Macaca fascicularis: one gene and its partner. The protein of the gene in region 1 purifies or fractionates together with the protein of each later gene. This does not show direct contact. Links are inferred from orthologs where the notes say so. Each region holds a gene or a part of one and is shown on either strand. Other genes may lie near its edges.

Region 1 (4,134 bases):
GGGACTACAGGCGTGAGCCACCGCGCCCGGCCAGGCTGCTGTTTCTTTACCTCAATCTAGAATTCCCTTCCTCTAGGTAGGATGAACTGAGATGCTCAATCATGGAACGACCCTCTCTTCCTGACAGTAGCTAATCCAGTGAAGCTTTCACTTCCTTAAACCTCTCCCAAATCACTAACAACTCTTACCGGAGAAGCCCCATCTTTCCTCAATGTGTGTTCTCAGTCACTGCAACCAGTAATAAACCCAGTTTGTTCAACGACCCTTGTGTTCCTGGTGGGATTTGGTTAGAGGGCACTGACAGACCTAAGTTACACAGAGTTGGAGGCTGAGTTCACTAGAAGCAGTCTCCGCTTGTGTGTTCCTTCTTAGCCACTCTCTTGGTTAACGTCTGTCGTCCCTCTACCAGAATTAAGCTCCATGAGAACAGGGGCATATTGTCTCTCATGTTCAGAGCTGTTTCTCAGTGCCTAGAACGGTACGCAGCAGAAGCTGGATGCTTAAAAAATAACCATTTTCTGAAAGAATGAATAAGGGGCTCGATATACGTAGGTTCCCTTTAATCTCTCAGCTCCCCGTAAGTCGCGTGACATACAGACAGCACCACAGCACATTTCCCCAAACCCCCATTTTCCCGAAGAAATCTCGAAACCCTCACTCCCGGGATGCCCATCCTCTCAGAGCCTCTTCCCCGGGCAGAGTTTCTCTCACTCGCTGGTCCCTTCACACCTAAGCCCCAGGCCTATACACCTTCCTAACGCCCCTAGAACCCACCTGTCTCCACCATCTGCCCCTGCCACCAGACACTAGCGGACGGGCAGCGCAGCTACCTAGGCGTCGAGTGGGCACTGCGGCATGGACCGCGCATGTGCGGAAATGGGTCGCACAAGCAGGATCTCCGACAAGTGAGGAGTTGCCTCGGAGTTTCCGTCCCGGTCTGGGCAGCCTTGGGCTGCCAGGAAGTCAGGAGAAGCTAGCCGGAAGGAGAACCCGGGCGCACGGCTTTCTGGGACACGTAGTCGTGGCGCTCTCGAGGCCCTACCATGAGCAAGCTCTTAACTCTTCAGGTGTGCAAGTCCTACGTCCACAGTCCAGTGCTACTGTCAGCTTGGAGTTCAGCTTCGGGCTGCCAAGAGCCAGCAGCCCGGTGTCAGAGGCTCGGTCCCACAACGCTCTGCGGGCCGCGGCGCCTGCTGGGAGGTGTAGTCCCCGCTCTGCGTACTGCGTTCGCCGAGGGGGAGGGCGGAGCTGCCGGCGGCCCGGGCGGGCTGGCAGCTAGAGTGGGTGCGATAGCCGCCTCCGCCTCTGCCGCCTCCGCCGTCGCCTCCTCCGCCCGGGCCGTTCGCTGCTGCGCGGGGAGAGCGAGGCGGGGCCGCCGGGGCCGCCATGGAGCCCGACTCGGTGATTGAGGACAAGACCATCGAGCTCATGGTGAGTGCGGCCCGCTGGACCGTCTGTGCTTCCGTCCGTCCGGCCCCGGGCGGGCCTGCCCACCTCAACGTCCGGTGCGAGGCCGGCTCTGGCCCTTCCCAGAAGCCTCGGCCCGGACCCGGGCCCCCAGCCTACCCTGGCCTCGGACCCGGCGCGGGCTCCTCTGATCCCTCGACATCTCCGGCCGGTCCTGGCCCGGCCCCCTCTATGCCCCTCGTTTCTCCCCCACCCCCTGTCCCGTCTCCGGTCCCAGCTTTCGGACGACCCTCGCTCGTTTATGCTGTAGACTTAGGTCGCACTCGCTCTAGCACCCCATTCTCCTTCTTTTAGAAAGGGATTTTTTTTCTTTCCTCTGTTTCGGCCCAGGCCCGCACCGCGCTTGCAAGCTCCACTCAGGCCGAGTGAGGTGGTGGGAAGGAGTGCCGAGGAGATGGGTCAGGGCCGCCTGGGCCTCCGCGTCCTAGGAGGGGTCTCAGCACCCACTCCCCAGCCTAGGTCTGTGTGGATGCCAGGATAGGCCCTACAGAGCTGGGGGGCAGGGAGCTTTCGGGTTTGAAGCTGTGGCGGATAAGGAGGCCTCTTTCCCGGGCCCTTGTGGTGTCCGACTTCTCGGACAAAGGGTTTCCTACCCGGCGGAGAGGGATGTTTGCATAGCAAGGCCCCAGGTACTCTGGATTCCATCCCCCAGGAAAGAGAAGCCGTAACTTCACGTTTTCCAGAGCTGCTTTGGGAAATTGGGGATGAGTGGGGAGGGAGCCATCCTCATCACTGCCGCGAGTTCTTTCTTCTCAGAAAGAAAAAAAGGGGAATCCTTGGCCCCCGGGGGAAGCGAACACTCTTCTGTTAGAAACCACTGGCAGGCAGGCCAGACTCCCCGGTCCGTGGACACCCTCCACCCTCCTCCGAAGCTTTAGGATTTGAAGCCAGAAGGGGGTTTTAGGAACAGGACCGTGAGAGAGTGGCTAGAAGGGGATGATTTGGTGGAAGAAATAAAATATGGCAGATATTACTTGCCAATGTGAGCATTAGGGAAATCAAACTGGGCTCTGGAGAGTTGGGAAGAGGAAGTCTGCATCAGCAAATGGACATGTCCAGGATTTCTTCCTGTGGAAGCCTTGACAGTTTCTTTGTATCTCTCCTAACACGGTAACAACTTCTTCCCCAGGGCTGAGAGGAGAGAGGTGGAAGAATCTACTTAACCCAGCAAAATGTTTTCCTAGCCAGATTTTCTTCAATGTGAAAATGTTTATTGAGTCAGTGATTCCACTGGGTAGGGTTGGTGACATCAGAGCCACTTCCCCCATTTAACGCTATAAATAATAAATGGTGACACTGAAAGTCTGTTGGATAGCTGCATGGTTTCTGTGGATGGTGGTGTCTGGGGAGTTGAGATGCTTGCTTTAAAAATGGAAGTTCGGTAGCATAAATATGGAGGCAGTTTAATGTTTGCTGTCCTTTGCGTAATTCACAGAACTTGACTTCTCTAGCATTCTTGAAAACTAGGAGGAAAAAAGAGAAACTGATAGTTTTTGATTTTTGCGTGCGTGTGTGTGTGTGCACGTGGGGTTGTTTTCAAAGGGATAATGTCACATGCTGAGTGATTTTTCCTTTTCAGCATAATTTATCATACTTGTAGTCAAGTGTTTGGTATTCTGTAACTTTTGTAGTGGGTTATTTTGGTAAATATCTTAAATCGACTAAGTATATTACATATTCTTAAAAATGTACACCCAGTGCATGTACTTACAACAGAAGTACTTCATATCGAAAAATTGTAACTTGGTGACTCTTTGAAATTGGCTGTTCCCAGCTCCTTCCATTTCTATTCCTTTTGAAAATAACGAAAATGTATTTATTTTCAAAAGAATTATAAGAAATACGTTGTAACCCAAGTCAGTGTATGGTAAAAAACAAACAAAAACCCAAAAAACCAAAAAAACCTTTGTCCTAAATTCACTGGCTTCCTATGCTTATAACTTAAAAAGTTTTGATTTTACATGATAGCACTTAGATTTGATCTGAAAAGAGATTTCAACCTGTTAAGGACATTGGCTGTGGCCCAAATATATCAATTTTTGCCCCTGATTTTGCAGTAGGTTAGATATCCTTTCAGATTTGACATGGATAAACATGTTCCTGCACACAAACTGGGATTTAAACTGGAATCCTTAGAAAATTTTAACATAGAGTTCAGTTATATTACGATTAATTTTAAAATGGCCTTTTATTTAAGGATTTTGATATTTCCTGAAAGGGATACCAGTTAAGACTCTTAGACAACCCTTATCGTAAATTAAATATATGTATTTATTTTAGTAAAATAGCACAGGTGCTTAACAACTGATTGAGTAAATCCAGAATCAAATGTAGGAATGATAATGCCTTAGAATCTAATTGCATGTGGCTTTCTGTTTTCACTGCGTTTAAATTACAGTTTCCAGAACTGGGTTAAAAATATTTTTTACATTGGTTTCAAGATAATCCGATTGATGGAAGAAAAGGGGTTAAACTGATGGTGTTTTGAAAGCCTAAAGCATGAAATATTTTTAGATTTTTATGAGTCAGCTTCAGTACTCAAATATTTGTGATTGTGCTGCTTGTACCAGTTTGGCACTTAATGCTTAACAAGATAACTTTCATTTGCTATTCCAAAGTGTGCTGTATTAAAAAGAGGAAACAGACTTCTTGGTTATGTCCCTTTTC
Region 2 (3,648 bases), on another chromosome or scaffold:
GATAATTCTGTCTAAACCATTGAAAGCACCAGATGCAACAAACAGGATGTTTGTTGTATCAACTTGTACTGTTTCTCCACGGAGCTTTCGGGAATTCTTTTCTGGAACATTGACTATTGTGCCTTCTAGTAGTTTTAATAAGCCCTAAATAAAAAACAAATGATTTATAGCATCACCATATCAAGTGCATTATTTATTATACTTTAGACAATGGGATTCAATGGGGAAAACAATGTGTGATTATGGTCAATGAACATAACTAATGAACCTCCCACATTTCTATAACAAGAAAATCTAATGCATTTATCACATTAATAATTAATACATTTATTTGAAATGGTTATAGAACTTGATGCAATTCAGGAAAACAGTCAACCTAACAGGTTGTTTTTGATAGTAAAGACGTAATTCTGACATAAACACAGAATTATGACGGTATAAAATGGTGTTCAAACACGGTGGGAACATTCAAAATTAGAAAATAGTTGAAGATGTCTTTCACATAAATTATAATTCTATTCCACTTATAGTATTAAACTTTGAGACTACCTATATTTGGAGATGCTTTTATAAAAAAAAATTTCCAGCACCTAAGTGTGATTATACCTTTCTATGTCTCTGTCAAAAAGTGAAACAATCTTCCTCACTCTTTAATAGTTTATGTCATAATTAGTTACCATTAAAAGGTCAAGTTGGCCAACAGATCATTGTGACTTCAATTATGGCTCTGCAAGGAATTAAACATTATTTTATACCTATCTTCTAACTAAGTGGAAGGAATAAGAAGCATGTACATAGTTCATTCATGTCTAGTTAGAATCATAACTTTCTTCAAGAGTCTTCTAGAAATATTTAACTGGGCCTTTGAGGAATTAAAAAAAAAACACAAAGATTAAATTTCATTTTTTCTGTTCTTCAAAATATTTTAAATTTCCTAACAAGGTAATTTGCTATTTCAAATTGTCAACAACTTTCTTTTAGGATCTAAACTATTTCAAAATGATATGCGGAGTTTGGGGGTGGAAGAAATAAACAAAACAGAATCTAATTGAATGTGAAACCAAACGTACAATATTTGGGAGGTTGATGTATTCCCTTCCTTTTAGTGGGCTTGAACAAAATATTCAACTGCTTACTTGCTGAACGCCTTCTCCACCTACATCCCGTAACTGATGAATGCCTGGCACACTGCCAATCTTATCTACTTCATCCAGAAAGACAATTCCTATAATTTAAGGAGGATTCTATTTATAATATGGAAAAGATATACACAAGATAGCCTCAGCTTTAAAAGACTTAGGTAGCTAGACAGCAAAGTTACTTGAGCTTTCATACTTAACATATGCAATAGCTTGACATCATAAAAATGCACTTTTATTTCTCCCATCCATCATTTTGTACAACTGCTTTGTAATCTGCTCTACGGAATAACATTTATGTATGGTAACAAAATCTCCTTGATAACAGTGATTTGCCCCACTAATGTATACGAATTCTTTATAGTATGGAAGCGGGAGGTATCTGCAGTGCTAGTATTAGTAAAACTTTAGCCTACGCTTTCCCACCTATATTCTTGTCTTAAAGAAATTTGAAAAGGAAGCTGTCATGCTCTTCATGTAAACAAGAACAGATGACAGATGAAGGAGCAACGCAGCATCCATGACATCCTGTAGGTCAACAGGCTAAACTGTTTCTAGAGTCATCTGGTACCGTCCTCCCTTGCCCCTGCCCTGTCCTATCTTAATCTAAGTATTAGAAGTCTTGAGGGGAGTTAAGAAAAGCAATGATAGTATTAAGGATCTAATGGGATAGTAATTTGGCTTGTTTTTAACCCTACCAGCCAGCTTAGTGACAATAAGGCAAAGCAAACTATGTGGCCCTTAATCAGTATGCTAGAAATTATGTAACAAAGGTACTTTTACATAATTACAGAATTTTAATCCTTGACTCAAAACAAGAATTGTATTGTCTCTTAATATTAGACTGATTCCCCAATATACTAAATCTGGGGACAGACCATGCTGAAAACATACCTTGTTGTGCTTTCTCCACATTGTAATTGGCATCTTGGAGTAGTTTGGCAATCACAGATTCAATATCCTCGCCTACATATCCAGCCTGAGTCAAAGTTGTACAGTCACAGATAGCAAAAGGGACATCAAGGCATTTAGCTAGGGTTTGTGCCAGCAGAGTTTTACCTACAAATAGAAACATTAACTAAAAGTTTACTAAACATATATTGGCACACAATTTTTCAATAAAAATGCAAAATAAATTTTAGTAGTATATAATAAAAAGTTGTCAATTGCTACATTTTCTTCTGCTATTATTTTTTTTTAGAGACAGGGTCTTGCTCTCTCACCCAGGCTGGAGTGCAGCCTGTGATCATGGCTCACCCCAGCCTCAATCTCCTGGGCTTAGGTGATCCTCCTGCCTCAGCCTCCCAAGTCCTGGGAGTACAGGCACATGCTACCACACCCAGCTAATACTTTATTTATTTATTTATTTATTTTGAGACGGGAGTCTGGCTCTGTGGCCCAGGCTGGAGTGCAGTGGCACGATCTTGGCTCACTGCAAGCTCCGCCTCCCGGGTTCATGCCATTCTTCTGCCTCAGCCTCCCGAGTAGCTGGGACTACAGGTGCCCGCCACCACGCCCGGCTAGTTTTTTGTATTTTTTAGTAGAGACGGGGTTTCACCGTGTTAGCCAGGATGGTCTCGATCTCCTGACCTCATGATCTGCCCGCCTCGGCCTCCCAAAGTGCTGCGATTACAGGCGTGAGCCACCACGCCCGGCTACTTAATTTTTTTTATAGAGATAGAGTCTTGCTATGTTGCCTAGGCTGGTCTCAAACTCCTGGTCTCAAGTGATCCTCCTACCTTTGTCTCCCAAAATGCTGGGATTACAGGTGTGAGCCACCACATCTGGTCTATTATTTTTTAGATATAGCTGTTTTTTATTTTATTATTCCTGTTAAGATGTTAGGGACTGGTCTGAAGGGGAACACCAATGCCTCAAATTCAGTTTGTATTTTTTTTTTTTTTTTTGTGAGACAGAGTCTTGCTCTGTCGCCCAGGCTGGAGTGCAGTGGCCGGATCTCAGCTCACTGCAGGCTCCACCTCCCGGGTTTACGCCATTCTCCCGCCTCAGCCTCCCGAGTAGCTGGGACTACAGGCGCCCGCCACCTCGCCCAGCTAGTTTTTTGTATTTTTAGTAGAGACGGGGTTTCACCGTGTTAGCCAGGATGGTCTCGATCTCCTGACCTCGTGATCCGCCCGTCTCGGCCTCCCAAAGTGCTGGGATTACAGGTTTGAGCCACCGCGCCCGGCCTCAGTTTGTATTCTATGCAGGAATATTGATAGTGTATCTAGGCAACTGGCCTTAGATTTTCTTCTCAAGAGTCATAATACTTCAATCACAAGATACAGGTTATAGAATCATTTATATTCTGATTTTTTAAATGAGTAATAAATTTTCTCAGCAAGTTATTTACCTGACCCAGTTGGTCCAAGCAGCAAAATATTACTTTTTTCAAGTTTTATGTCATCATGAGAAGAATCCAATACTTCACCTCCTCGTTTTTCCTGAGGTATTTGTTGATTTACCTGTTGCTGCATTGATGCTCCTAAAGCATTACCATGTGGGCTAA

What was found. Proteins that work in one complex are often made in the same cells at the same time.
Region 2: the proteins of FBXW11 (region 1) and CLPX purify together in Homo sapiens (affinity purification with mass spectrometry; 5 studies listed by BioGRID and IntAct, with this or other methods). This does not show direct contact. The link is inferred for Macaca fascicularis from reciprocal best matches to the Homo sapiens genes FBXW11 and CLPX.

Annotation. Positions count from the first base shown.
Region 1 is NC_088380.1:178,789,905-178,794,038, reverse strand, and holds the start of FBXW11 (F-box/WD repeat-containing protein 11), read left to right. Parts: upstream 1-1,250; 5' UTR 1,251-1,386; coding exon 1,387-1,431; intron 1,432-4,134.
Region 2 is NC_088381.1:41,742,624-41,746,271, forward strand, and holds part of CLPX (ATP-dependent clpX-like chaperone, mitochondrial), read right to left. Parts: coding exon 3,493-3,648; intron 2,199-3,492; coding exon 2,034-2,198; intron 1,226-2,033; coding exon 1,137-1,225; exon of another isoform or gene 1,071-1,136; intron 145-1,070; coding exon 1-144. UniProt on the Homo sapiens protein: ATP-dependent chaperone that functions as an unfoldase.